Rattus norvegicus: one gene and its partner. The protein of the gene in region 1 purifies or fractionates together with the protein of each later gene. This does not show direct contact. Links are inferred from orthologs where the notes say so. Each region holds a gene or a part of one and is shown on either strand. Other genes may lie near its edges.

The links.
Region 2: the proteins of Cd19 (region 1) and Cd81 purify together in Homo sapiens (affinity purification with western blotting, with the first as the bait; 3 studies listed by BioGRID). This does not show direct contact. The link is inferred for Rattus norvegicus from reciprocal best matches to the Homo sapiens genes CD19 and CD81.

The regions. Positions count from the first base shown.
Region 1 is NC_086019.1:190,414,253-190,429,716, reverse strand, and holds Cd19 (B-lymphocyte antigen CD19 precursor), read left to right. Parts: upstream 1-5,448; 5' UTR 5,449-5,482; coding exon 5,483-5,570; intron 5,571-5,791; coding exon 5,792-6,058; intron 6,059-6,337; coding exon 6,338-6,532; intron 6,533-6,662; coding exon 6,663-6,941; intron 6,942-6,969; exon of another isoform or gene 6,970-8,196; coding exon 8,197-8,307; intron 8,308-8,545; coding exon 8,546-8,594; intron 8,595-8,836; coding exon 8,837-8,925; intron 8,926-9,227; coding exon 9,228-9,329; intron 9,330-9,446; coding exon 9,447-9,548; intron 9,549-9,633; coding exon 9,634-9,702; intron 9,703-9,800; coding exon 9,801-9,857; intron 9,858-9,948; coding exon 9,949-10,005; intron 10,006-10,659; coding exon 10,660-10,746; intron 10,747-10,876; coding exon 10,877-10,968; 3' UTR 10,969-10,983; exon of another isoform or gene 10,984-11,152; 3' UTR 11,153-11,864; downstream 11,865-15,464. Other genes in the region: Rpl36l3 (large ribosomal subunit protein eL36-like), read right to left, coding at 13,004-13,324. UniProt on the Homo sapiens protein: Functions as a coreceptor for the B-cell antigen receptor complex (BCR) on B-lymphocytes. Decreases the threshold for activation of downstream signaling pathways and for triggering B-cell responses to antigens.
Region 2 is NC_086019.1:207,673,610-207,687,974, reverse strand, and holds the end of Cd81 (CD81 antigen), read right to left. Parts: intron 12,310-14,365; coding exon 12,195-12,309; intron 9,566-12,194; coding exon 9,468-9,565; intron 8,799-9,467; coding exon 8,724-8,798; intron 8,514-8,723; coding exon 8,409-8,513; intron 8,130-8,408; coding exon 8,028-8,129; intron 7,635-8,027; coding exon 7,548-7,634; coding exon of another isoform or gene 7,462-7,547; coding exon 7,399-7,461; 3' UTR 6,881-7,398; downstream 1-6,880. Other genes in the region: Trpm5 (transient receptor potential cation channel subfamily M member 5), read left to right, coding at 288-469, 762-894, 1,635-1,707, 2,067-2,133, 2,433-2,521; U5 small nuclear ribonucleoprotein TSSC4, read right to left, coding at 3,914-4,879. UniProt on the Homo sapiens protein: Structural component of specialized membrane microdomains known as tetraspanin-enriched microdomains (TERMs), which act as platforms for receptor clustering and signaling.

The DNA of each region.
Region 1 (15,464 bases):
ATTCCCAGCAACCACATGGTGGCTCACAACCATCTGAAGACAACCATGTCTGAAGATGACAACAGCGTACTCATAAAAAGTAAATAAATAATTCTTTTTTTTAAAAAAATTTTTTTTGATCTGTCTCCCCTAAGCTGATTCTGGAACGACCTCATTTCCATTCGTGGGCCTTCCTAAACCCTGTTCCTCGACTCTGTTCTCTTAGTCCTCATAGCCAACCACCCTAGGGAGAAGGGAGACCTACAGGCCACTGTAGATTAAAGGTGAATATCAAAAACAGGAACAGCAGAAAGCTTACTGAACACATGGAAACTGAACAATTCACTACGAAGGAACACCAAGTCAGAAATTAAACTTCCTAGAATTGAATGAAACTTAATACACAACATACCCAAACTTACGGGGCACAATAACTCAGGCCTAAGAGGAAAGTTCTTAGCATTAACTGCCTACATAAAAATTTGGAGAATTCTCACACTAGCAACTGAGTAGTAGCTCACCTGAAGGCTCTTGAAAAAATTAACCACTGGGCAAAACTGCCCCATGACTCACCTGCTGCCAGGGCTGTACACAAACTGTAGCCACTTTTGGGTTATTGCCCTGTGTCTCGGTCTGGCAGACAGATACCCACTGTACTCTGCGTATCAGCTGGAAATTAAATTCTGTAGAACAGGCAGCAACAACTGACCACTGCCAGCCACGTAGAGACCATGGGAGCCTAGGGCAGGTAGTGGGTGAATCTCTGTCATTTTAATTGAAATAGCTATAATTTATTCTTCTCCGATCTCTGTGATATTGACTAACTGTAGCTTTAACAGCAGCAAGCATGCCAGCTCCTCCCCCAAGGCCATAGCTGCCTTCTCTTCCTTGGTAAAAAATCAGGCCTCAGGCCTCCTTTCCTAGAGCGACCCTCTCCGGCTGAGAAGACAGTTTACCTTGCCCAGACTCTGAAAGGAGATAAATTCAGAGAGGCTTTCAACCCAGAATCATTTTAGGGTTCCCAAGCTTTTACTATAACCCTAAGGCACGAATCTACTGCTCTTTTTACAATGTAGATTTCAGGATAGGTTACAAACAGAGGTAATGCTAACATATTTAAAATTTCTTATATTTTTGAAAACTTAAAAAAAATTATTGTAAGCTTCGGGGTCAGCAGGTCAATCAGATTCCAGAGAAGTACCGTCAATCAGTAGACTTTCCCCCCACCTGCCTATTCCACCCATTCCTGAAGGTAGGGGTCTCGATCTTTCTTCCCTAGTCTTAAAACTCCCCTCCCCCAACTACCAGGAAGGAGGGCCTGGAAGTTTCAATGGCACAAATAATTTTCCCCTAAACTCCTTAACTTTATCGTCTGTCTTTAGTTTGTCTGTCCCAGCAGATTTCAAATCAACTGCAGACTGCTCTAGCTGCTCGCCAGCCCCTGAATCTGCATCCCAGACAGCTCCAAAAGTGGCTAACCCCAGCCAGCCCAGCATCACAGACTGCTGTACTTCCCTAGCCCCAGATGGTGGCACAAAGCCTGGACAGCAAGTGTACCTCTTTCCCTCCCTCCCTCCCTCCTTCCCATCACCCTTACGAAGCATTCCGGCTTTTGTGGATCCCCAGCAATGACACCTCAGAGTCAAAAGGAAGTAGTCATAGAAAAGATTACATCACTCCTTATCAGGATGGTCCTTACTATCTATCAACAATGGAAGTTAGGTCTCAAACCTGAGGCAAAAGGCGGATTTAACATATCAAAACAGATCAAGTCACCAGGTTCTCCCAGCATCTCTATTCCTTGCCTGTTACAGGGTATGGCTGGCATACCCTGCCCCCTACCCTGAAGGCTCCAGTCCAGGGGCTGTCCTTCTCCCAGATGCTCTTCTGCATATAATCCAGTCATTCGGTTATGGGTTCCTTTTTACCTTTTACCCTTTTGGCCTCTTGGTCTCTTGGCTTTCCCCTCCCCACTTTCCTCACAAGGCCCAGCTCGGGGTCATGTTCATTCTGGACTTTCCCAGAGTCTCTGCCTCTGCCTTTGCTCTCTCTCATGTCTACAATAAACTTTTTCCTCCAGCATACTTAGGGGGAGTCACATGCTCCGTTTTTATTCCTTTTTTTCATTCAGGCACATGTGTGTATGTGAGGGTCCATGCATATAGAGGCCACGTGTAGATGTCCAAAATTGCCCTCCTCTGCTCTTCCACCGTAACTCAAATGAGCCAGGGTCTCTCAATCAATAAGCTAGTGTTGCTAGTCAGCAGGTCCTGCGAAGACTGAGATTTCAGTCAGGCTGCTTGGCATTTATGTGGCCTCTGGGGATTGTGATCCTCACACTTGTGTAGTAAGCCCTTTACCCACCACACCACCTTCCCAGATCGTGCCTGGCAATTTTACACAAGACTCTGGGGACAGGATTCAGGTCCTCACGTTTGGAGACAAGCCATCGTTCCACCTCAGGGAAAGGTTTTCTTTACTCTTCCCCACTTGTTTTCTTCCTTCAGTCAATAAATACATATTAAACCTTCATTAAACCAGAGTGCATCTAGGGACAAAAAAGATCTCTGTTAGCATGAACAGCCTAGGGCTGTGGATCCCCCCTCACAGGTAGAGCTCACCAGTGACATAAGACAAGGAGAGGACAGTCTGCATTCTGACTCGAGATGTAAATAATGAGATTAACTCCTAACGAGTATAATTTAAAACTGAGGCAAATGCTAGAACGGAAATAAAACAAGGATGTGAAGTACCTGGCAGTTCTGGGCAGGCCTTTCTGAGGAAGTAACATTTGAACTGAGAGCTAAGTGATAAAAAAAAAAAAAAAAAAAGGAGCTAGCCAAGTGGAAAGTGTTGTGTGGTGGAAAAGGTCTGTGGTGGGAGAGATGCTTGGTAAGTTGAATAAGAGGAATGAAGACGAAAGATGGAGGAATGAATAGAGAATAGTGTCATTTCCTCTGGATGTGGACTGGAGGGTTTTCTTGTCTGTTTGCTTTAGATGAATGGAAATCCTTTGTGGGTCTTAAGAAGGGAGAAACACTGCTGGGTGTTAGGCAAGTTTGTGCCCACTGTTAGAAGTCTCTTCTTCCCAAGCCTCCTTCTTTCTCCTTGGCCCCTCAGCTCAATCAAGGGAAATGAGGGCCCACCACCTGTGGTGTCCCCTGAGGTTTGCCTGTGGCAAACAGGAAGTCACAGCCCAGTAGAGATAGGCCTGGGACTCAACTCAGAAACTAGGTCTCTTGGGTCTCTTAGTCTTTCCTCTGAGTGCTGTCATCAGTGAAAGGTATGCACACATGCTCGGGCACACAGACTTGGGCACACAAACATGGACACACATATACACATACACACGCACACCACATACACACCACATACACACAGGCACACACAACACACACAGAGACAGAGATACACAGACACATCGACACAAGAGACACACAACATACACACAGAGGTACACACACAGACACATATATATACACACAGGCATACACACACACACACACACACATGCATAGACACTGTACTATCACTGTGTGACTTTAGATAATGCTCTTCCAGTCTTGAGGCCTAAACTTAATGTCTGTGAGTCTCTACAACAGAAGCAGGAATTACCTGGAGAATAAAGGGATCTTAATAAGAAGCCATTTCTAAAGACCACTGCAAAGCACATGGCTCTTGGTCACCATACTGCTGTCTAGCCTCTTCCCAGCTCTGATTGCTGTGCCCCCAGAACAGTTTCTGGTCAGCTCTCTTACTAACTTGCTTAGAGATAAGGAAATTTAACCATGGTTTTGCATGTAGCTGAGTGGGCGCCACTCTCAGCCACAAACTGATGATGACTCTCAGAAACTGAACTGTAAACCAAAAAAAGCTACACACACACACACACACACACACTCCACACCACATATATGCTCCCCTATATACTACATACAAAGTACATACACATACACATCACACCACATACACACGCCCCACACCACGTAAAAACTACATGCACACACACATACCACGCTACATACATACTCCCACCACACCCATATAAACTACACGCACACACACACACCATATACATACAAACCACACACATACACATACCCCCACCCCACAATCAAACTACATACACACACACACCATACCACATACACATACCCCCACCCCACATACAAACTACATGCACACACACACCATACTACATGCATACCACACCACACCACATACAAACTAAATGCACACATACACACCACATACACACAAACCCCACACACATACACATACATACACACATCATACTACAACCACCCACACACATACACCCTAGACACCACCCACTGTTTTTTCTTGTGCTGCAACTCAGGGAATTATATATGGTAGGCAAGTGTTCTACCATTGGTCTACATTATCTACCCAGCTCACATTCCTTTTTGGGGATATTGGGGGTGGGATTGACAGAGTCTCACTAAGTAGCCGTGGCTGGCCTGAAACTTCCAAGGATCCAGCTATTGTTGCCTTTCAGTTGCTGTGATTAAAGGTGTGTGCCTCTGTGCCTGTTTGGCTCCTCCTTTTCTGAGAGGGGGGTCTTGCTATGTACCCTAAGCTAGAATGAAGTGTGGTATGTGTGTGTGTGTGTGTGTGTGTGTGTGCGCGCGCGCGCGCGCGCGCGTACCTGTCTGTCTGTCTGTCTGTGTCTATGCCTGTGTGGTAGCAGGGATTAAATCTAGGGTCTTTTGTTTGCTTGTTTGTTTTTTGTTTTTTCCGGAGCTGAGGACCGAACCCAGGGCGGCTCTATCATTGAGCTAAATCCTCAACCCCAAATCTAGGGTCTTATATATATACTTTATCACTGAACTATGTCCTCAGCTTTTTAAAAAAACTTTTTAATTTTCAGTTAAGTTCTCCCTGAGTACTGTGGATTGGCTTTGAACTCACTCTGCAGTCCAAGATGGCCTTGACTTTTGTGATTTTTTCCAGTAACTGGAATTATAGGCCTGGATCACCAGACCCAATATAAAATCCTAATGCTATCCTCAGATGATAGAGAAAAAAAGTGGAAGCCAGGCACGATGGCGTATGCCTTTAATTTTACCAGCTGGAAACAGAGCTGTAAAATGGGGTCAGAGCTTGGAGCCTGGAGAAAGGAGGAGAAAAAAGACCCTAAATCTGTACCCACTCATTTGACAAATGTTTACCAGGTGCCACTGTGTGGAAAGCACTGTGCGTGCAGTGGTGAAGACATTAGCCTTACCGGACTTCCATGCCGAACCATACGTAAGATCACATACTTGGTTTAAATGCTGGGTGACAGGAGGGGACAAGTGTTGTGGATTTGGAAGAGTGCCTGCAAAAGGGGGCCCAAGGTGTGACCACCCCCTTTCCTCTATGTGGGGACTGCCACAACCCTCACAGACACCCATGGTTCATTGCCCACTAGGCTCCTGCTTGCCCCAGCATCCTCTGCGCAGCCGCGCAGAAGCCGGGTGCCCCAGGGAGCCTGGCTACCATGCCATCTCCTCTCCCTGTCTCCCTCCTCCTCTTCCTTACCTTAGTAGGAGGCAGGCCCCAGAATTCCTTACTGGTGGAGGTAGAAGGTATGTCTGTCTGTCTGTACGTCTGACTGGAAGGAGCTAGGGTTGGGAGCCTGGGTTCCTGGTTGAGTAACTGGCCTTCTTTGAGCCTCCATTTTCTTACTTGTAAACTTCTGAGAGGTGTCAGAAAGACCTTTAGGGCTTTCCATATGGTGAACTTCTGGGGTCCTTTGATTTATGAGGAGGGAAAAGGGGTTGGGGCTCTCCTTTTCCTCTCCCCACAGAGGGAGACAATGTTGTGCTGTCATGCCTCCGGGACTCCTCACCTGTCTCTTCTGAGAAGCTGGCTTGGTATCGAGGTAACCAGTCAACACCCTTCCTGGAGCTGAGCCTCAGGTCCCCGGACCTGGGTCTGCACATCGGGCCCCTGGGCATCTTGCTAGTGATTGTCAATGTCTCGGACCATAGGGGGGGCTTCTATCTGTGCCAAAAGAGGCCCTCTTTCAAGGACACCTGGCAGCCTGCCTGGACCGTAAACGTGGAGGATAGTGGTGAGTGCCTGGGAGGGCTGGGCTGTGGGGGTGGGCTGTAAAGAGGGTTTCTCCATGGACACAGGAAGTTCTTAGGTCTAGTGACGCTACAGCGGCAGGAAGGAGTTAGTTCTAGGCACCTGGTTCCTACGGCTTCGTAGCTGCTCTGAGCTACTCTGTCTCTGTCTCACTCATCTGTTAGTCATAGTGGCTTTCTCCCTGTATCTCTGGCTCTGCTTTTTGGGGCCTCTGTATCTCCCCCTTCTCCTGATCTGCGTCTAGTCTGGGGTCTCTTCTCAGGGGAGCTGTTCCGGTGGAATGCTTCAGACTTGGGGGACCTGGATTGTGACCTAGGAAACAGGTCCTCAGGGAGCCACAGGTCCACTTCTGGTTCCCAGCTGTATGTGTGGGCTACAGATCATCCTGAGGTCTGGAAAACAAAGCCTGTATGTGCCCCACGGGAGATCAGTCTGAATCAGAGTCTAATCAACCAAGGTAGGGGAACAGGGCTGTTCGAGTGCTGGGAAGTGAGGGCTCAAGGATAGGGATGGTGCTGGGAACTCGGGGGTGGGGGGAAATGAGACCCCCCCATGATACTTTCTTTACCTTTTATCTCCTGCCTTAGATCTCACTGTGGCCCCTGGCTCCACACTTTGGCTGTCCTGTGGCGTACCCCCTGTCCCAGTGACCAAAGGCTCCATCTCCTGGACCCATGTGCATCCTAAGACGCTTAACGTTTCATTACTGAGCCTAAGCCTTGGGGGAGAGCACCCAGTGAGAGAGATGTGGGTTTGGGGGTCTCTTTTGCTACTGCCCCAAGCCAAAGCTTCAGATGAAGGTACCTATTATTGTCTCCAAGGAGGCCTGACCATCAAGATGCACGTGAAGGTCATTGCAAGGTCAGGTAGGGTTTCTTCCAATTTTGGGAGCTACTGGAAGAATTAGAAGGGCTAGGGGTGTGGTTCTGTGGTAGAGTGTGGGCATAGCATGTATGAGGTTCTGTTTCCATCCCTAGAACTAACACACACACACACTCTCTCTCTCTCTCTCTCTCTCTCTCTCTCTCTCTCTCTCTCTCATGTGTGTGTGTGTGTGTGTGTGTGTGTGTGTGTGTGTGTGTGTGTGTGTGTGGAGAGAGGGGGCAGACAGACAGACAGAAAGACAGACAGACCAAAACTGGTGGTGTACAACTGTAACCTAGAACTTGGGAGGCTGAGGCATGAGTACAATACCAAGACAGACTTGGAACTGGCACCAGAACCAGCTTCAAGCCTCATCCCAAACTCCAGTTTGTACACTGAATCCTAACTCTAGCTCTTTGCTCATTGCTTCTGAGATCTCGTTTTTCTGGTTCTTCCCTGTGAGCTTTGCTGGCTTCTTCCTCCACCACTGCTCCCTTTTGGAGCCCCAGGCCTTGTACTCACTTCTATCCACACCCTCTTCTCATTTGGCATCCTTTACTCCCATGGTTCCTAGGTTACCACTCCTTATACCTTTCCTGGGCTCTATACTCCCCAAAACCAGTCATCTCCTGGGATTGCCATTTCATGTCCAGTGGACATCTCAGGCTTAATATATAAAGTCAAATCGACATCTTTCCCACATAGACACTTTGGATGGCTTTGCACAAATGGAGCACTGAGAAGCATATACAGGGTCCATTTGCCCAAGTTAGGAGCCTGACTGTCTTCTCTTTCCTCACTCCCTCCATCAAATTCGCCACAATGTCTTGCCTTGCTTCTCCTTAATACAACAGTACCATGCTATCCTGACCACAACTGTTAAGTGCTACCTCTGCTTCCACTTCAAACTTGATCCCAACATATGTTGGATCTCAACTCTAACTTGGAAGATTCACTTTTGCCCTCCATGTTGACCATGGTTATCCTTAACTGCAGAATTAACCATCTCCTAGTCCTCACATTGCTAGGATAATACCCATGCTTTGTATGTGACTTGTTGGAGTCTTGTGCTCTGTGGCACAACCCTTGTTCTCCTGGGAACAACTGGTTCTTCCTTAGTGGAAGGGAGAAGAGCTCCCTGAAGAGATTAAGACTTTGAGTCTGTGTCTTGCTCTAGTCTCTCAGCTGTACGACCCTTGAGGGGTTGGGGAATAAGATGTGTTGTGGGGTTCTTGTCTCATAGCACTTTCCTCTTAGCAGTGTGGCTCTGGCTGTTGAGGACTGGTGGATGGATAGTCCCAGTTGTGACTTTAGTATATGTCATCTTCTGTATGGTTTCTATGGCGGCTTTTCTCTATTTTCGAAGAGGTAAGTCATGCCCCTGAGTTTCTCTAAATTCTACCCCATCTTTCTCAGAATAAGCCTATGCTGGCCAATCTGACACATCCCATAGCCTCATGCTTCTTTACTGTCTCTCATACTTCCTGGAGGCCCTAGAATTTGTATGATCATCTCCTATATTGACCTAAGTGACCTCCCCTGTATCCCCAAATTCACCTCCTGCCTGCCAAACCCTCTCCTGATCCACCTCTTTACATCCCATCAGCCTTCATCCTGAGGAGGAAGAGGAAGCGAATGACCGACCCTGCTAGGAGGTAAAGTACAAATGCCCTTTTGCTGCAAGCTTTACACTCTTTGTCCCGTGGGCCTTGGGGCCATCTCTATTGGTTGAAATACTGCGCAAGTTCAGAGACCACCTTCCAAATCACCTTGCTTGGCATGGTCACAAACTCATTGGGTACGCATCCCTACACAGTTAATTTCCAGAATAGACTGGAACTGGGAATCCCTACGTGGTTCAGCCTTAAGGTACACCACCAACTCTTTCTTCCTCCAGATTCTTCAAAGTGACGCCTCCCTCAGGAAACGGGACCCAGAACCAGTATGGGAATGTGCTCTCCCTTCCTACATCTACCTCTGGCCAGGGTGAGGGACTACCCACCCTTGGGAGGCCTTCAACTTCCCTCTGGCAGTAGCCAGCTATGCATTGTCCTCATTTCTCCAATCTTCTTGGAGCAGAACCTTCCCCAGAGTAGAGCCCAGAACTAAATAACATCAGATCGGCCAAGTCCAGTGTCTGGACCCTGGCCAGAGTGAGCCTTGTCCTAGAACTTAAGGCCAAGGCCCACATTTCGATCCCTTCCCCACGGCTCAAGGCCAGTCACACAGGCACACAGAGGCTTTCTGAACAGCCTCTGACAGCCATCTTAAAACACTCTTTCCACCAGCCCATGCTCAGCGTTGGGCTGCTAGCCTAGGGAGTGGTCCTGTGTCCTATGGAAATCCACGCATTGAAGTCCAGGATGCTGGAGCTCAGAGACATGAAACAGGTCAGATTGAAGGGTGGTTCCTCAACTGGAGAGTGTCAGAGCAGCCTCTGGTGGGGTTAGCGGACTGCTGGTAGAGGAGAGATGCCACTCAGTTCTCCACACCGGTCCCAAACTCAGGACTGGAAGAAGAAGGGGAGGCCTATGAAGAGCCAGACAGCGAGGAGGGCTCTGAATTCTATGAGAATGACTCCAACCTTGAGCAGGATCAACTTTCCCAGGGTGAGGCCCCACTCTCCCTGGTCCCAACATTTCCCCAACTGTGGGCTGCTGACCTTTACTAGAGATAACCCTCTTTCTCTATCAGATGGCAGTGGCTATGAGAACCCTGAGGATGACCCCGTAGGTCCAGAGGAGGAAGACTCCTTCTCCAATGGTAATGTGGGGTCCTTGTGGGGCTGGTGGTTAGGAAAGCACTCTTGGTGCTGCAGAGCTCCTATTGCCTGAGCAACTCCTGGGCTCTCTCTTCCACAGCCGAGTCTTATGAAAATGCAGATGAGGAGCTGGCCCAACCAGTTGGCAGGACGATGGGTGTGTATCTGAGTGTTTGAGGGCTGCCACTCTTGGAAGAGGCTGAAGACCAGGAGAAAAAGTGACATCTTTGTCTCTCTTCTTGTTCCAGACTTCCTGAGCCCCCACGGGTCTGCATGGGACCCCAGCCGGGAAGCATCCTCCCTTGGTGAGAGTACTTAGGACATCTTTCTTTGGTCAATCTCAGATGATATAAACTTAGCTCTGATCCCCAAGCCTAAGCTTGACCCTGGCGTTGGACCCGATTTGTAACTCCACCCTCTAGCCTGTTTCCCAGTGTTTCTACCATCTCTAACCGTGAAGATCAGTCTTGACCCCAATGAACCTGACATAGTTGTGTCTAGAATTCCAGCTTGTGGGAGGCTAAGGCGGGGAGATTTGAGGCTAGCTTGCCGTACTTTGTGAATTCCAGGCCAGCCTAGGCTGAATGAGACTTTGTAACAAAAATTTAACAAAAAATAATCAGCCAACCAACTAAAGCATTGACCCCCAACATCTCCCCTAGAGTTTGACCTTTACCTCACTCCAGTCTAATAGTGCAGACTTCATCCTTGACCCCAGCTGTCTGTATCATTTCCTATGACCTTGGCTTTGACTCCTCCCAACTCTGTTCTCGACCCTTCCTTTGACCTTAGCCTTCTTACAACTGAGTAGGATCTCGATGATGACAAATCATTCCCACTTTGACATAAGGAGCTTCTACTCCCTGCCTAGCTCCTCTCTCCTGGGTAGGCAGCACTTCCCTTCCCCAAGCCCCAGCAGGGTTTCTGGGTCTCTAATTTTCCATCCCATGCCTAAGCAGGGTCCCAGTCCTACGAAGACATGAGAGGGATCCTGTATGCAGCTCCTCAGCTCCAATCAATTCGGTCTGGTCCCAGTCATGAGGAAGGTGGGTGTTTCTGCACTGTTCCTTGTTGTCTCTGGACCCCCTCGCCCCCAGTTGTCCTCTGGACCCGGCCGCCCACCCAGAGCTTCCTTCTTATCCTATTTATACTTTCCTTTTCCTGGTCTTAATCCAGATGCAGACTCTTATGAAAACATGGATAAATCTGACGACCCAGAGCCAGCATGGGCAGGAGAGGGCCACATGGGGACTTGGGGTGCCACGTGACTCCCAGGTGACTAGGTGAGCTGGACACTGCCCCTCAGAGAGGGGAGGAAGAAGGAGATAAACAAGGATGATGATGCAGCACTGGCTCCTGGGGAGAGGAAGGGGACCCGTTTCCTGGGTCCAGTGAATAGGGCCTAGACTTCTTCCCATATTTGTTTGTTTATTGGTTTGTTCTTTTACGTAGCCTGGACTTCCTTAGGTCCCGAGAACCCCATCTTACTCTGAAATCTGGAGATCCCAAGAAGATGGTGTCAGTCAGTGAAATAACCTTGTTTAGGATGTGTGTGCGCACACACACACACACACACACTCATATGCATGTACAAGCAAAGCTTCCTTTTGACTCTTTTTGCTTTCCCCAAATAAACTCAACAAGCCACTCAAATACTCTGAAGCATGCCCTTGTGTGGGAGAAGAAGGAAAGATGAGGCTGAATCCAGCTCTGAATCACCCAGAGGAAGGAGAGCTGGTCTGAATACATCCTGGCCCTAGCATGATATTTAGCCACTAACATCCAATGATGCAAATATGTTCAGCCATTATTCCATGGTGTCCCACAAGGGACAGACAGTGATGGGATTGGCACCCCTGCACAAACTGGGAAACCCTGTCTGCCCTTCTTCCCTTAACCCTGGCTGCTCTGGGCTAGCAGGTCAGTACCCCTCATCTCTGAGTTTCCGGCAACCCACCTGAGTGCCCGCCCAGGGTTTCAGCTTCTGACCATATGTGGACACCACCCCAGCTCTGAACTTACATATCATCACTCCTTGTCTAAGACCTATAAAACCCCCTTACCTTAGCCCAGGTGTGCCATTTCCCTGCTCCCTCCCCTGTCCTTGGGATCTGTGAACGTACTCAAGAGCTGCTCTCAATAAATCTGCCTCTATATGTCTTAATTTGGCTTGAATTGGCTTATTTCTTTGGTGGAGAAAACCTATTATCTTAGTACTGAGAACCTAGGAGGAATTGAGCCTAAAGCCCTGGCTTTAGTGCTGGGCCTCTAGCCTTGTGGGGAACTGATCCTCTCCTCTTCCCTCTCTCTCCTCCCAAACTGCCCCCCCCCCCCCGCCTGCCACTTCCCTGCATTCTCACAGGATGGTTCTTTTCACTTTCTTTTTTGATCATGCCCATCTGCCTGATACCTTTACTTGACTGTGATATCCTCTGCTGTTTTGGGGCCACCTCCTCCCCCTGGCTCCCATAATCTCTCCTGACTCCCATCTTCTTCTTCCTCTAGTTGCCTCAAGGATCACTACCTGAGACTGTCCTGTTCTACCCTACCGGATTCTCTCCACTCCTGAGTATGGGCTATTTCAACCCTGGTGATTGTTACTCATCACCAGATGGTCCTAGTTCACTTCAAGGACCCTTCTCCCTTCCCTTCCCAACCCTAGTTTCCCATTTCTGAAACCATCACCACAGACTCAAGCCCATCATTAACCACCTCCTATTTCAGGGACTTCTCCCCCCCCCCTTTAAAAATAATTGGATATTTTCTTTATTTATATTTCAAATGTTATCCCCTTTCCCTATTTTCCCTCCCCCTGCCTCTATGATGGTGCTGCCCCACCCACCCACCCACTCTCTCCTGCCTCCCTGCCCTGGCATTCTCTTACACTGGGGCATCGAACCTTCACAGGACCAAGGGCCTCTCTTCCCATTGATGCCTAACAAGGCCATTCTCTTCTACATATGTGGCTGGAGACATGAGTCGCTCCATGTGTACTCTTTGGTTAGTGGTTTAGGCCCTGGGAGCTTTGGAGTGTCTGGTTGGTTGATATTGTTGTTCTTTCAGGGACTTCTAATGCAACACTTCCATTCTCCCAGTGAATAAGCCTACCAGTTAGTACAGAACCTCTACCTCATTAACAAGGCAGTAATCCCAACCTACGCATGGTTACCAACCCCTACATCCTCCTCTCTAACATTCCTCCTAAGACTTTCAACTTACCATCCTGGACCTCAAAGATGCCTTCTTTTTTTTTTTTTTTTTTTTTTTTTTTTTAAGAACCATCTTTTATTGGGGGAGGGGTCATCAATCCTTCTTGGCCGCCGCCTTCCGCATGGCTGCCAGCACGTTGCTCAGCTCCTCCCTCTTTCTCTTGGCCCGGATGTGCGTGCCCACCCTCTTCTTGATAAACTTGAGTGCTCGCTTGTCCTTGGACACCTTGAGCAGCTCCATGGCACGCCGCTCGTAGGGCGCGAAGCCGCACACCTCCCGGATCATATCTCGCACGAACTTGGTGTGCTTGGTGAGGCGCCCGCGGCGGCGGCGGCTGTGTCTCGGCTTGCTGACGTTTTTCGTCACTTTGTGGCCTTTGTTGAGGCCCACGGCCATGGGGTAGCGCAGGGCCATGGCTGCGGGCAGCGGGAATAAGACAGCGACTGAGATACCGTACCTCGGCCCGCGCCCGCCCGCCTGCCCGCGGGGGCGCCCCGCGAGGCGGGAGGCCCGATGGCGGCAGATGAGCCCAGACGAGACGGACTTACCTGCCCAAAGATGCCTTCTTTACTGTCCCCTACACCCTTGTCTCAGATGGGGGTTTTACTGCTGTGAAGAGACGCCAAGACCAAGGCAACTCTTATAAGGACAACATTTAATTGGGGCTGGCTTGCAGGTTCAGAGGATCAGTCCAGTATCATCAAGGTGGTAACATGGCAGCATCCAGGCAGGCATGGTACAGGAGGAGCTGAGAGTTCTACATCTTCATCTGAAGGCTGCTAGCAGAACACTGGCTTCCAGGCAGCTAGGATGAAGGTCTTAAAGCCCACACACAGTGACACACTTCCTGCAACAAGGCCACACCTCCAAATAGTTTCACTCCTTGGGCTAAGCATATTCAAATCATGACAACCCTCCTTTCTAACATTCCTCCTGTAACTTCCCACTTACCATCCTGGACCTCAAAGATGCCTTCTTTACTGCCCCCTACACTCTGATTCATATTTTCTCTTTGCCTTCACCTGGGAAGAGTCTGATTCACAGGTGAGACGGCTTACATGGACAGTTCTCCTAGGGCTTTTATTTTATTTTATTTTATTTTTTGGTTCTTTTTTTCGGAGCTGGGGACCGAACCCAGTTCTCCTAGGGCTTTTGAGATAGTCTGCATTTCTTTGGCCAAGCCTTGGCCTGTGACCATTCCTCCCTTAACCTTAATCGAACTACACCTCTTCCATACACAGATGACCATCTACTTTGCAGCTCCTCCTTATCACTGTCCCAGAGGGTCACCGCTTTACTTCTAAACTATCTTGGCTCCCTAGGATACCCCATCTCCGAATCTAAAGCTCATCCATGCTTTCCCACCATAATATACTTGGGCATTCTACTTAGCCAGGGATCTAAGACTCTCACCTCTGACCGGGTGCAGGCTTTGGGGGACCTACAGCTCCTAATGACAATGGATCAGATTCTTTCATTTTGGGACCTGGTGGGGTTCTTCAGACATTGAATCCTCCAGACATAATTTTGCTATTATGACTAAGTCAGGATACCATGCAGCCAAGGAGACCCCTGACCCAGCTTTTTTCCTACTCTGGGATGTTCTTTTAACAATGCCAGCGTTGTCCTACCAGACCCTACTGGCCCTACCACCTCTTCACCAATGATAGGCTAGGGGTAGCAACAGGGGTCCTGGTCCAACACCTTGGGCCTTTCTCCCAGACCATCCCTTTTCTACCTAAACAGTTGGACTCTACTGTGTACAGCATTCACCTGTGAGGACCTCAAGATGACCCTACTCCAGCCAGTATACTCCACCCACCCGCTCTCTGATCTCCTGAGACACACTCTCTCTCTTTCTCTCCTTGGACACTCACAGTCCATACCTTTCATCTGTTATTTCTGGAAAACTCCCAGGTCACCTTGATCCCTAACCCTGTTCTTTTTTTTTTTTTTTTTGATTTACTTATTATACATCTAAGTACACTGTAGCTGTCTTCAGATACACCAGAAGAGGGCATCAGATCTCTTTACAGATGGTTGTGAGCCACCATGTGGTTGCTGGGAATTGAACTCATGACCTTTGGAAGAGCAGTTGGGTGCTCTTAACCGCTGAGCCATCTCTCCAGCCCCTAACCCTGTTCTAAACCTGCAACCCTTCTTCTGTTCCATCCTCTTCCCACTCCTGCCTAGAGGCCGTGGAGACCCCTTTTCACCCCCGACTCAGCCTCTTAGGCTTACTTCTCACAAACCCACCCTTTTTGTGGCTGGAAGTCCCCTTATAGATAACACAGGAACACCGGACAGCACATGTAGTGGTCACCTTGGCTGAAACAGTTGAGGCAAACCGCCTTCCAGTGGGAACCTCTTTATAAAAGGCTGAACTAATTGCTCTGACATGGGCACTCCGTGTTGCCAAAGGACTACAAGTTAACATGTACATGGTCTCAGAGTAGCTCATAGCCACTCTGTCCTATGGAAGGAAAGGGGGTTCCACCAAGGAGTAGAAAGGGGGTCCCTCACCATCATGGGCACGATTGTTGTCAGTGGTCCC
Region 2 (14,365 bases), about 17 Mb from region 1:
TTGTGGTTCCCTTCCTAGGTGACTCTAGGCTGTGTCAAGTTGATAGTTAAAGCTAACTCTATTAGCCTCCATCTTTCTGAAAGGGTTCCCAGGACAGCCTAGCTACCCACTGGATGCAATGGGGGATGGCATACAAGGAGTGGGGGGTGAAGGGGTGAGATGAAGGACGGCAAATGAGACACAGGGGGTTGCATGTGGGGTGGGAGGTAGATGTCAGGTTGAGATAGGGTGCTTTCGTGGCAGGGAGAGCAGCTTATAAGGCAAGGGCTTGGCTATGTGTCCTGTAGCTACACATTCCAGGTGGTGCAGGGCAATGCAGACATGTTCTGGAAGTTTCAACGCTACCACCTCATCGTTGAATACCACGGAAGGCCGGCTCTGGCCCCGCCCTTCATCCTGCTCAGCCACCTGAGCCTGGTGCTCAAGCAGGTCTTCAGGAAGGAAGCCCAGCACAAACAGCAACACCTGGGTGAGGTCCCAAGCTGGATGCCACTGCTCCTGAGGGTCCCAACGGACAGAGGAGATCACAGAAGGGACTGGGGTTCCTCATCTAGGCCAGGTTAACCAAAGCTTCAGGTACAGACTAGACAGCCACAAGGCCAGCCTGTCCCCTTGCAGCCTGAGATCCCTGCATGGGGCTTATTTCTGTCATCTACCTTGTGCTCTGCCTGGCGGCATCTGCCCTTGGTCTCTCTTGCATCAGCGCCTAGGGAGAGCCCACACAGCTCTCCGACGCTTGCTGCTGTCTCCCACATTGCCAGAGAGAGACTTGCCTGACCCCGTGGACCAGAAGATCATTACCTGGGAAACAGTTCAAAAGGAGAACTTCCTGAGTACCATGGAGAAACGGAGGAGGGACAGTGAGGAGGAGGTGCTGAGGAAAACGGCACACAGGTGAGGCAGCCTGTGGGACCCCAGACAACAGGCATGTAAGGACCAGGCTGTCGGGTGCCATCTTCCTGGTCATGAGCTGCTCAGAGACGTAGAAGGGGCCCTGCCAGGAGGCAGGTCAACTCATGCAGCAGGGTTGGGCTGATCTTGGTCGGCTGGGTGCTATGAGAGGCAGTTAAGTCTGGAAGGGGCTCCCCATTGTGAACACATGGAGGTGGGGGAATATCTAGCCTTTTCAGTAATGGGTGGGGTTTTCTGAACTGTCTTAAGATGGGTGAGACCATCTAGTGCCAGTAAAAGAACCTCTGAGCTAGGCAAGCAGGCCTGGGTCACAAGACCCAGCTCTCTTGCTCTAGGAAGAGGGTGTATGTGTGTGAGTTGGGAGCATAAGCCCATAAGTAGGCAGCTTTCTGTGATGGGACTCTCTTCCTCCTCTCTCAAGTCTGAAGATCCACCCCTAGTCGGTGCTCGATGGTGGAGGGGGCTGTTCCTGAATGCTTATAGGGATGACCTGCTGGTTATCCTATTGCTTGGTGGTCAATTCCAAGCAGGGACAGGATCTCAATCTCTTGGAGGGTACAGAAGTGCTCCAAATCCAAAGACCGGCCCCAGATAATGATTGGAAGGACAGTAGGGCAAGAGGCGACAGTTGACTGAGGCCCTGAGAAAGCAGTTAGGACAGGCAGGCTCCCCCTTGTGGAATGCCATGGAAGTGTCACAACTGCGGCTGGCCTGCTTTCCAGAGTGGACTTGATTGCCAAATACATCGGGGGTCTGAGAGAGCAAGAAAAGAGGATCAAGTGTCTGGAGTCACAGGCAAGCTAGCAACTCAACTGTCCACTTTTCTTCCTGGGGTGGGGACACCCTTCTGGGAACTACCACAGCCCTGTACCAGCATCCTGATGGGTAGGTAGCATCAACCCTGAACAGAGCAGAAAGATTATGGGCAGGACAGGTGAGACCTCAGGGCACACTGGTCCAACAAAACCTAGGTTCAACACCACATCTGGTCACCACCCCTTATCGTGCTCTATGGGGCAACCTGGTCCAGAGTGTGGAGTCCCAGGGCAAGAATAGCCCTGGTAGGAGGGCAATCATGTGGGAGGAAAGCAACCCCCCTCGTTCCCCCCAACAACCCTCGCCAAAGTCCCAGTATCTCCCTTGGCTCTCTCTAGGCCAACTACTGTATGCTCCTCTTGTCCTCCATGACTGACACACTGGCTCCTGGAGGCACCTACTCAAGTGAGTGTTGGTTCAGGCTATGGGAATGAGATGGGTATGGGCTCCTCCCTTCAGCCACCAGATTAAGGCAAGAGAAAAGCTTCGGGCTGCATATTGGATCCTGCCTTCTCCATCTGTGTTAGAGGTTCCTGCTACCCTTCGCAGGCCACTATTTCTGAGGCATACAGGTGCCCAAGGCTCTGCCTAGCACTGGTCTTGCTATCCTTACCACTTTCCATGTCCTGGCCCTTGTCTCACTCCTGCCCTGCCCCAGCTGGGGCTTTCCAGCTAAGGATCCTTTCTCCCTTTCTTGCTCCCAGGTTCTCAAAACTGTGGTCGCAGGAGTCAGCCAGCCTCTGCTAGAGACAGGGAGTACCTAGAGGCTGGCTTGCCACACTCAGACACCTGAAATGGAGAAACCACTTGCCCTAGAGCTCCAGACCTGGCCAGATTGAGGTTTTGGGTCACATCAACCTTCCCCTGCCCCAGCAGCCCCGAGACCTTGCCGCAGACCATGTCTTGGACACCTCTTCCTATGAAAATGAGACTCATGTCTTTGGCATCTATCTGGGAGCCCCAGGCGTCCTCTCCAGCAGGGGAAGTTTTCTCATGTCCTACCTAAAACTTTCACCAGCTAAGACTGGACAGCTGGAACTGGCCAAGTCCCACATGGGATACCATCTGCCTGGATGGGGCTACTTACGTCTAGCCTGTCTTACCCTGAGTTCCAAAGAGGCCAACCTCTTAAACACTAGAGGTTTCCTTCTTGTCCTCTGATTCATCCATCAGCCGACCAGCTTCTAGAGGGCAGGACTCAGATCTACTGTAATCAGCTCCCATCCTTCAGCCCCCACAGCATAATTTGTGTGATTGTCCTGGCACAAACCCCAAGATACTGCTCAAGGGTACCCAATGCTATTTTACTTTCTATAAAGCCTGTAGACCACCTCAACTAAGCTAAACTGGACCACAGGGGTGGCTAAACCAACATTTCAAACACCTGGGGAACATGGAGTTATCTGACCCAATGAACAGCATCTCTGTTCCTTCTACTACTTCTCAAATTAAATGACCACCCAGGTCCTTTCTAGGCGAACTACAGAGACTGGGGCAGACCCGGTGCTTAGCAGGCCAGGCTGGCTAACTTGGTCCAAGTCCCTGGCCTCCACATGAAATACTCACTCGTGCATCCTTCTCCTCCTCCCTGGCCCAGCTTCAGCTGAAGGATCTAGCATCAGCTGTGTCTTATACAGAGGTCACAAGTCCTGGAGACATACAGCCCGGACACCAACCATTTGCTGGCTCACAACTTATCCTCTTCCTAGAACCCGTGGTCTGTGCGGGCCCAGTGCTGGGGCTGCACTGGTTTCTGGGGGGCAGGGGGACCATATTATGCTCATCCAGTACCATCAGGGGCACAAGGCTGAACACAGCTACGAGCCCACTCCCTCTGGGTAGGTTACCAGTGACAAACATCAATGCCCATGGCAAACCTTCACAGCGGTCCTCACTAGAGCGGGGAAGGCAGGATGAGGCTGGTAGAGATGCAGTCCTGTAGTTAGCTGCCCAGGACTGTTTGGACATAACTCTTGAGTGGGGCCGAGAAAAATTCACGAAATTCAGTAAATACTCAAAACCTTTATTATTCACCCCAAACAATGGGGCACAAAGGCCTTCAAGGTCCCCTGACCCACAATTCCCAGTCTCTGCCAGAGTTGAGGCCCACACATCCCTACTACAGAGAGCCCACACTGTCCCACCTGGACTGGGCAGGTGAGGAGGTAGAGCGATGGCACTGCAGTCAAACTGAGGGTCCTCTCTCAGACCCTGGCCCCTCCGGGTTACTATCCCTGTTCCGGAAGTGGTCTCTGCTCCGCTTCTTGCTGCCATGGAAACCAACAGTTTTCATACCTATGGGGCCTGATGAGGACTCAGGACGGGCAGCTTCTGAAGGCACTACCACCTCTGGCTGTCCCTGGTGGCCACTCCATTCCTCAGCCTCAGGCCCGGCGAGATGGGCTAGCTCCACTGAGGCCTCACCCCCTGCACCTGACACAACCCCCTTCTTTAGGACCCTCTTCCTCTCAGCCCTAGCCTCGCTGCCCCGCACTGGTTTGGTGAAGACCACTCTTCCCTCCCCACAGCTAGAGGGGTCCTGGTTGAAAAAGGGCACATAGTCTGTGGGGGATGCCTGGCTTCGAGAGCTCAGGAAGGCCAGGGCAGCATCACGATTGCTCTGCTCACTGGTTTCAGACACATCTTCCAGACTGTATTTGGTCCAACGCTCAGGGTGTGACACATAGTCAGGGACAGGGTGTACCCTGGTCGGGTCAGTGTTCCCATGCACTCTGCTCAAGCTTCTTGCTGGAGTCTGACTTGGGGGAGCCACAGGCCGCTTGAAGCTGCAATTGTCAACCACACTGGTTTGGGGAGCAGAGCACGGTTCCTGCCGGGCTGCACTCTCCAGACAATCAAAGATGCTGTGGCTCCGCTGGGAGAAAGTGGAGCTCATGCCTCGGAGGTGGAACGGCTGCACTGCAGTGGTGGGAATGCCCGTGGGGTGCGAGGGAGGGTCATCAGGGCCCGAGTCCTCCTGGCTCTCCCCAGAAAGCCTCTCTGGGGACAACGCTTGGACCTCCACACCACTAGGTAAGCTGAGGTCAGAGTCCGAGTCGCTGAGGGAGACGGTGTCAGAAGGCAGGGTGTCATCCTCGGTGGGTTCCTCAACCTCCAAGCCGGCCTCTGTCTCCGCCATAAGACCTGACATCCGTCCCACCTGTAGCAAGGCAGTCCCAGTTCTGCCGTGAGGGGTGTACCTAATGCCGCACCCCTCCCCGCCCTCCCGGGCTCTTTCACCTCCACTGTGTGCCAGGCGCCTCTACTCACAACCGGACCGGAGGCCTCGCGAAGCTGGGTGGCTAAAGGGTATCCTAGCGTGCACAGATGTGGAGCTGCAGGTTAGGTGGGGTTAAGGAGAGAGTCAACCATGAGATCATAACAGTGTGGACATACAATAGATGAGCGCTGGGAGATGCTGGTGACAGGGGATCTCCATCAGCGGCTCGTCCCATCACGAGCTCTTAGCAAAGCGCAGCCTCTCTGGGCACACACTGAAGGCACCACCCGGGGTCCGGAGGGGGAGGTGGCAGAAACAGGCACGGTACTGGCCTGGTCGCGGCCCTAGGGAGGCCAGTGCTCACCGTTCCAGCATCCGTACACGCTTCAATAACCTGCCACCTTTCCCGCAGCGTCCCGCCAGTTCCACGGGATTCCGGCCTGTTCAATCTCGCTTGGATTCCTGGGAAACCGAGTCTCGGGCTATCAGAATATTGTGGCTTCAGCGCCCGAGAAACTACAACTCCCAGAAGGCAATGGGGTCACTGCCTAATGCCTGCCGGGACTTGTAACATGTGTGCCATCCCGAAGACCGGAGCGCACACGGAAATCCACCCAGAAATGACGAAAGGGGAAAAGGCGGAGCCGTGATTCCCACAATACTCTAGGGTTAACTGCCAATCGCAAAGGGTTGAGGCTTCTAGCGTCGTCCGTCGGAAGCCACCTGGGCCGGGTCCGACACGAGGAAGTGCGTCACTACGCACTGCGAGCTACAACCAGTTTCCCAGACACTTCCGGCCCTGGGCGGAAGTGGTGCGGGTCTTGTGCTTTGTTGGCTTTCTGGAGTTGGGCGGGACCAAGGTCCTGGTTGGCTCTTGGCGTATAGAGACGTGGTGGTCCTTGTAATGGGTTGGTTGGGGCTTCATAGATTCGAGGCCGTTACCGTGGGCACTGCCTGTCTGTGCTTCCTGACACAGGCACGGACGGACGCTTTAGGTGCTGGACGCTGACCCTACTATTCAAGGCCACACATAATCCTCCTCCAGGCCTGGGACTGTTTTCTTGCATCCTTAGACACCAGAGTCTGAGGATCCACTGGGCTGCTGCATTCTCTCCTCCTTTACTATGTTCTTGAAGCTGTGCAACAGGCTTCCAACAGCCTTGGCCTGGTGCCCATGGGCCTCACAACATAGAATATAAAGGTTCCCTCAGAAGCCAGCCAAGCATGGAACAGGTTGCCCTGGCGTGGTGGGTGGAGGTGGCTGAGACCTAGAATGCCCTAGTACAAGCTTGGGGTTCACCGACAAATCAGCCTACTGCTGGGACCTGAATCTTAGCCAGGACTTCTCCTCTCTAGTGGCCAATTAACCCAGCAGCCTGGGGGAGGGGTGCAGACAGGAGTCAAAGAGAAAGACAGTGGTGGTTGCCCCTTGTGTCCAGGAGGTTGCTTTAGCCTGATCCTCAGTTCACAGGGGTGAGCTCAGCGGACTGCCTTTTATTTCTTGAGACACAAGCTAGAACCATCCAGCTCAGTGGAATATTTCCAACACCTAGATACCTGAGATGGGGTAATGGTCTAACCTTTACTGTCTTGTCCCTCAAAAGGAAAGTGTTCTTGCAGTTTATCCCCAACATTCTGTGCTGGATTCCCCTGCCTTGTGGCTCCTCCTACCCGACTCAGCCGACCTGGCATTCCCAACAGATGAGTGGAAATGAGGTCAAGGCTGGTGTTAGGTCAGCATTGAGCTCCCAGTACAGGGAGGTACAGAAGTGAGGGAGTACTCAACATGGAGTGCTCCCAGGGTCCCAGCCCTCCCCACCCACTGTGTTCCACAGGCTCTATTGGACCTGCTCACCCTGTACCTGGCAAAGTTCAGAGCTGACGAGCCAGGTCTCTGACACCACTGGCACAGGAAGAGGTCTGGCAGTCCCATTAGCATGCCTGATTTTTTCCTCCTTTATTAAATGACTGTTTCAAGATTTAATTACAGTTGAAGGTGACACGTTAGAAAGAATAAGTGCATTGAAGGCATAAGAGTGCTTACAAACCCAGCTCTTGAAATGGAGGCAGGAAAGGGACAAGGATTAAAAAGATGGGAGCGATGTGACCCACAGTGGGCAGAGTGGGTGGACATGGCCTTCTAGCTTGGCTATGTGGCCTCTGGACAAGTAGCTATGGAGGAGGTTTGGCTCAGCAGGCAGAACTCTCCAGGGGTCCCAGAAGTACAGGGCCCTGCCAGCTAGGGCCAGCTCCACCTCTACGTCCCCACATACGCCACCTATGTGTGGTGTCGGCTCCAAAAGGTGACAGGAAAAGTTCAGAACAAAAAAGACTCAAAAGTAAAAAGGCTAAGTGTAGCAGAGTAATACAGAAATAGTATATACACAGGCCATGGCCCCCAAGGTGGCCTCTGGTCATTCCAGGGACCCTCTGGTGCGAAGCGAAGGGCCTTAGTACACGGAGCTGTTCCGGATGCCACAGCACAGCACCATGCTCAGAATCATCTCGAAGATCTGCAGGAGGGAGAGGCACAGTCAGCACCTAAGACCCTGGGAAGGATGCTTTCTGCCCGCCTACCCACCAGAGGCCCTGTGCTTACCATAATGACAGCTACCACAATGGCTGCAATTCCAATGAGGTACAGCTTCCCAGAAAAGAGCTCATCGATTTTCTGATGGCAGTCTTCCTGCAGGGATGGCAAGACGGTGGTTAACAGTCAGTGGCTAAGTCACAGCTACCACCCTACTCAGTGATGGGGCCTAGGCACCACAGCTTATCTTCCACATGTAAATAAATGTAAAACACATGGACCTGCTGCCTGTGGCCTTCTCTATCACGGGGTAGTGTTTTTGACCTCACTAGTACCCTAGGGTACCAGTGTTTGAGGGACTACTCAAGAGAACAGGTTTTCAGGATATTGCAGGGGTTAACCCAGGCTGTCAGGACCCTGCATCCCACTAATTGAGATGGTCTATGGGCCTTTCAGAGGTCCTGCCTGTTCAGAGTGCTGATCTTCCTGGCGTGCCACATTCCCCTACCTACCACCCAGGATATGATGCCCACCCCCACTCCACGCCACCTTCAGAAGCTGAGTGAATGAGTTGCTGCTTGAGGGACACAGGCTGTTCCTCAGCACGGTGGTGGTCAGTGTGGTCAGCGTATTGGAGCCACAACAGTTGAGCTGCAGAGACCAAGAACAACACTGTCAAGGGAAAGATCAAGCCCACAGCACAGCATCACCCCAAAATATACACTTGGGAGCTGTCTGTCCTTCTGCCTGGTTGGTCACCCTGCACACAAGTCCCATTCCTCCAAACCCCTGGGAAAACGAGGCCCATTAGATTCCTACCTGGGGAATCTAATCATAGAGGAGAACCTTTCCCAGGTCTTGTTACAGAGATCTGGGACTCATGCCCCCACACACCCCACAACCTGCCCTCCTGCTCCAGCTTAGCTGTACCGTCTCATGGAAGGTCTTCACCACTGCCTTGGCATTGTTGGCATCATCATCCATCACAGCCTGCTGAAGGGCCTGGTCGTAGAACTGCTTCACATCCTTGGCGATCTGGGGGAGAATCATGGTCACGTGCAGCGAAGGGGCTACCACCAAGAGTATTCATCCCACCCCCCATGTGCTCAGCCCCATGCCACCTCTTCCACTAAGCTCCCAAGACCCTGCCCCCACCAATGGGCCCCAGAAATTAAAAAAAAGTACCTGATAACCTATGGGCTCAGAGCAGAGGGCATATCTCCCTCCCCAGTGAATCTGGCTTACCTGGTCTTTGTTTACAAAGCCCCAGATGCCCGCAGCTACCTCACAGGCAAACAGGATCACAAGGCAAGTGAAGAACTAGGAGAAAGAAGAGGTCAGAGCCTTGACCAGCAAGCCCAGGCCTAGCCCACGTGACCAACAACTATGTGCCAAGGGGGTTGGCTGTATCCACTAACCATGGCCTGATTAAGAATGAGCCACGTAGAGCCACTGAGAGATAGAGCCTGATACAGCCCCACTGAGATGGCCAAGTTGTCACAGCCTCCCCCTGCTTCCTATTCTGCAGGATATGGCTGGTGTAAGAAATGCAGCTGACAAGTCCAAGTGTCCACAGCCTTCACTGAGGCACATGCAGCAAAACACCCCGCAACCCTGACCTCAGTTTCCTCACCTCCTTTATCCTACAGCCATGGAAAGGTTAAACTATGAAGTGTGCTTCAGTCGTTTCCCCTGCTTTCGATACTGTCAGGGCCTCCCTCCCAGGCTGACCAGGCTCTAGAAGGCATATCTATCTGGGCTTCAGCTTCTTCTCCAGTAGCTAGTATGGTCAGGAGCACTAAGGCTGGCTTTAGGGGTGAGATGCCCTTCTGGAGTCTATTTTTTTCTAAAGTGAAATCCCTTTTTCTAAGATATATATTCATATGCAGACCCAATGGAAATCAAGCAAACAGGAAAACCAAAACCTTGGGGAAGACACGTAAGTTGCCAGAAACCCTGCTCCCCAGCCCTTCAGCCCTTTCTACTCACCGTCCCCAGCAGGCACTGGGACTCCTGGATGGCCCCATAGCACCCCAGGAAGCCTACAAACATCATCACAGCTCCCACAGCAATGAGAATGTAGATGCCTGGGGAGGGGAAGAGCTGGGTAAGCAGGCTGCATGCACCACTGCCTGAGATAGGAAGATCTGACTCACAACCACAACAGGCAGAGGTTAGCAATGTGCGCCATTTGTGCCTCAGTGTCCTGTGAGAGGAGCCGCCACTGCCACTGGAGGACAAAACAGCAATTCAGTGCCCAGAGAACACGGGTAATCTCCATTTCACAGGTATGCTCTGCTCTGGAGCCAGTCCCCCACCACCTGCACCTGAGATCAGGAACCCTCCTCGGCACTCACTGTAGAGGGCTGAGGCAGACTACCCACTTCAGTGCATGAAATGGGGAAGTGTCGTGGATGTTGGGGCCCGATGTCCAGGACTCCCAATACTGGATGAGTGTGAAGTCAAGGGTAAGCTAAGCCAGTAACCAACTCCAGGCACCTCATCTCAGGAACGCTGTATAACCATTCTGCTCACCTAACTCTAAGGACAGGAACCTGTGGGGGGGTGGCTGGAGGGCTGACAGAATGATAGGGATAGTTTGAGCAGAGCACCCAACATCTGCCACTGGCTGGGCTGTGAGTTTGCAGGGGAACACTGTGGCCCACGAGGCACCAGTTGGACCATGTCCCTGCCTCAGTGGCCACAGTACCCCTCAGCCCCGAGGGAAAGCACACTGTGTCTCTGATGAGCCCTCTATCTCTTGGTTCCTCAGTAGAAGCAGCCCATCCCCCAGTCTCCACGGCAACAATGCAGGGCACTCCAAGCTTCCTTGTACAGAGTCAGACCCATTGTCCCCTGCCTGGCCAGACCAGCGGAGAAAGTACCGTGGCCTGGACCTGCTGCCAGACTTAGAAACAGGCCAAATCCTCTGGCCTCACTAAACATGCCTGGTCTAGGGGAAACCTCCCACCAAGGTTGCCTAGAAACTGGTTTCACCTTTGCCTCCCAATGGGCGGAGCACCTTCAACCAGGTCCCTGTTGTCAAGCCCTGAAACCCCAACCTCAAGATGAGGTGTAGGCTGTCTCAAAGGAGGATACATACAGTCGGGCACCCAACACACAGGCACTGTCCCAGGACTTCCTAGGCCTAACGCATGTCTCACCTAAAGCCCATGTGGTGGTTTCTGGGATGTTAGGCAAGCCCTGAACTCACTCTCCTAAACACTGGACAAGACACCTTTTTCAGGGCCACATCTGCTCCTAGAGGAGCTCAGTTCAGGGGCAGCAGGAAGCTCCAGAAAGTCAATTCAGGTTGTCCAGGGACACAGCAGCCAGAGTAGCTCCTACCCATAGGCTATGGGCCTTGCTGTCAGCACCCAACCTGCTACACAGTGTAGTCCCTGAGACTATTTATCCAGTATCCAGGGGGCCATAACCCCAGATGGGCAGGTGGCTGAGCAGCTCTGGAACTGGAGCCTGGAGTAGACTATTATGAGAACATGAGGATAGAGACCTGCTTCCTAGGCCACCCTATCTGGGCTCTGCAGGGTACCCAGCCTCTCCTGCCATACCAGTGCAGAGTGGGAACACAGCCTTCCCCTTGTCTGTCTCTGATGCCCAGATCTCCCTTGTAAAGAGACCCATATCAGTTGCTACACAACAAGCCAGTGTCTGTATGAGCTAGTGGGCATCCTCCTCCTCCTCTGAAGGTACCAGATCCAAGGACGGATAGCTGGTGTGGGCCCTTTCCTACTAACAACCACGCCTGAAAACTGCTACCCCTCACAGCCTTCCTCGAAGGAGACCAGGTTCTGGCCCCAGCCTACATTGTCTGGACTCTACCACGGTCCATTTTACCCACGCTGAAGCTGTGGGCAGAGTATAGGGAGGAAGGAAATAGAGCGAGTCATGTGGTGACCAAAGCCCTGTCTGCTCTGGGGCACTTAGGCGGAAAGGGAGAATGCTGATTACTTCAGATCTCCTGGTCCCCACTCAGCCTCAAGCATGTCTCCCCAGCCCCTTCTAGGCTCCACAGGAGGAGGAGGAAGATCCACATTAGACCCCTGATGAAGGTGAGAGCTTTAGAAGGGTGAAACCATCTCCAAATACTTCTTCAGTTCTCGGGACACCAGGTCCCTCTTCCAGGGGGAGGAAGGAGGAAAGCTTCCTCCTTCAGCACAGAATAGTGGACCACAGCATAGGACAGCATAGCACAGCCGCTATCTTCCTACTTGAGAGGGAGGTGCTCAGTCCCCCACAGGCAGCCAAATAAGGCAGGTGCAGCAGTCTGGCCTCTGCTGGTGGGGGTGGGGTGGGGTGTGATGGGGTATCTGAGTCATTCACTGTCTCCAGCCCTCCCCAACTCAGGACTCCTGGGGCCTCAGCTGTTGCTAGCCCAGGCATCCAGCCCCACCCTGCCCAGGAAGGTTCACTAGAAATGTCCATGTTAAAATAAGCAAGGTCCTACAAGGCCCCTGCCCTTCCCAGCTGCTTCCTTTCAGTTTAGCCCAGTCTCAGATCTGTGGGGTCCCCAGCAGCACCACACCCAACCCAACTCTCCTCTTGTAGGCAGCCTCCCTCTCCAGCTCATATTAGGCCTAGGCCACTGTGGGTTCTAATGCCCCACCCACCAGATTCAGATTCATCAGCCTCTTCCTGGAAGCCCTCCCTGACTGTTCTGGACTTGTGACTAGACCCTGTCTCTTTGTTACTCACCCACATAGAAGGTGCTAGGTGCTGGTTTGTCTCCCAGTTCCAGGTAGAGAAGGCTGGTGGTTTGTGGATCATGGCGCAACCACAGAGCTACACCTAGGATCACACCTCCAGCCAGCTAGGAAAAAAAAATCAGGAACAATGTCATATAGAGGCCAGAGCGCTGTGAGGCGATGGAACCCTACGATGCTTATCATATAAAGCCATCACTTCCAGTTGTGGAGCCGGACGTCAACCAGGCCCCATGGGGTCTGCTCACTGAGCCACTGCCGCTGAGCTCTGGGTCCCACCAGCTCCTTTCATTGTAACTCTAGAACAGAGTTCAAGTGTACCTCTAATAGTGCACGACACAAACAAGGAGGTTTGGGCAGAAAACGTGGCTCAGTTGATAAGAGGCTTTGGCATGTAGGGAGCCCTGGGTTCAAGCTAGCACCACGTAAACTGGGTTTGGTGGCACTTGAGAAGTAAAAGCAGGAGGATCAGGAATTCAAGGTCATGTGAGTTTGAGACTAGCCTGGGCTATTGAAACCTTGTCTCCAAAATCAACAGGAAACATTTTTCCCCCTACTGTTCCAGATTGACCAACTGTACAACATTTTTATCTGAGAAGTGGCCACAATGAGCCCTAGCCACTCAGGATGCTGCCGGGCTCTCCCCTGGTACCCTGTCCCAACGGCCCTGAGACTGTGTAGAGACTGCTTCAGGTAGGGTACTGAGAACTCTGCGGTAGAGACACCAAGGTCTCCCTGCCAGGAGGACAGGGGTGACCATGTGATGTCACCAGGCCCCACGGTGAGAACAGACCAAGGGAAGCAATCTCTTCCCCACTTCTAGGCCTTCTCTTCTGGAAGGGTCAGTGGCACTCCCCAGTAGAGACAGCAAATAGAAACCAGAACCCGGGCCTGAAAGGGCACCTGCTCTTCACTGTGGGGATTCAGGACAGAGCACAAGCTCAAGAAAGTTCTGGGGAAATTCCCAAGCAGGATGGTCCCGGAAAGAGGACATATGGAACTCACCTACCTTCTTCTACCCTAGGATCTCGTGCTCTGCTTAACCCTCAAAGAGGAAGCTGTGGTGGGGGATACTTTCTCCTGATTACCATCGCCCTCTACTCCTACCCCATTCATGCGCCCTTCTTCCTCAGTTTCTCAGTCTCCTCTTTAGGTGTTTAATTCCATGTTCACACTCCAATCCAAGAGGGATGAGCCCCCAACCTCCACCAGAGCCTAAGAGAAGAGAGTGTGTAATATAAAAATCAAAGTCACACTGAGCACCTGTGCCCAATCCACAAATGGCATGAAGACTGAGACTCTGACGGTGCCTTCATGTGTAACAGCCCTAGTAATGCTGGGGATCCCCAGACCTTCCAGCACGTTACAGCGACAGCTCTGTCTACACACCCTTAAGAGCCTAGCCATCAACTTGGGCAACAGAGGCAGGAGGGTAGGGCATGGCACAGGCTCCAACAGGCAGCACAGTGCCAGACTCCTCCTAAACTGGCTTGAGGAGGCAGTGACAAGACTGAGTTGCCCTGGTAACCTGGCTTCCTTTGAAACATCACTTATTTTGTTTAAGAACTGGTCCAGAGGTCTTTCTGAGAACCTGGGCAGGAGAACCAGGAGGCACACCTGTTCCTCATCCTTCCCTTGGTGGTAACATGACCCTGCGGTGACAAACCCTGATAGCCACAGAGGCTGAGGGGCAGCTGGTGGGTCACCCTGCTTTCCTCAGTCTGTGGGCTTACCTGTAAAACAGTCGAGCACACAACCATGCTTGACTCTGGCTTCTCTAATGGTAAGGGGATATTGTCTGTGAACTGGGGGCAAAACAGGGTGAGAGATGCTGTTCAGCTGAGTCCCAAAGGCTGCTAATGTGGGTGTCTGGCCAAGCCATCACTTACAGACAGGTTTTATAAAAGAGTTGGGATCAGGGAGTTGACTCCAGAAAACTCTCTGGGATTTATTCTTTAACTGACAGACCTGAATAAAAAGAGAGAAAGAGAAAGAGAAAGCTAAGGATCTGTGGCTGTCAATCATAAGAGAGGCCAAACTGGGGTGGGGGTAGGCAAGGCATCTGGGAATAGGGACTTGGCCACTCACCCCATTGTCCCAGGGGCAATCAGAGCTGAATGGGAAGGAAAGTCAGGCACTGGGATGACTTCCTTCAGCAAAGTG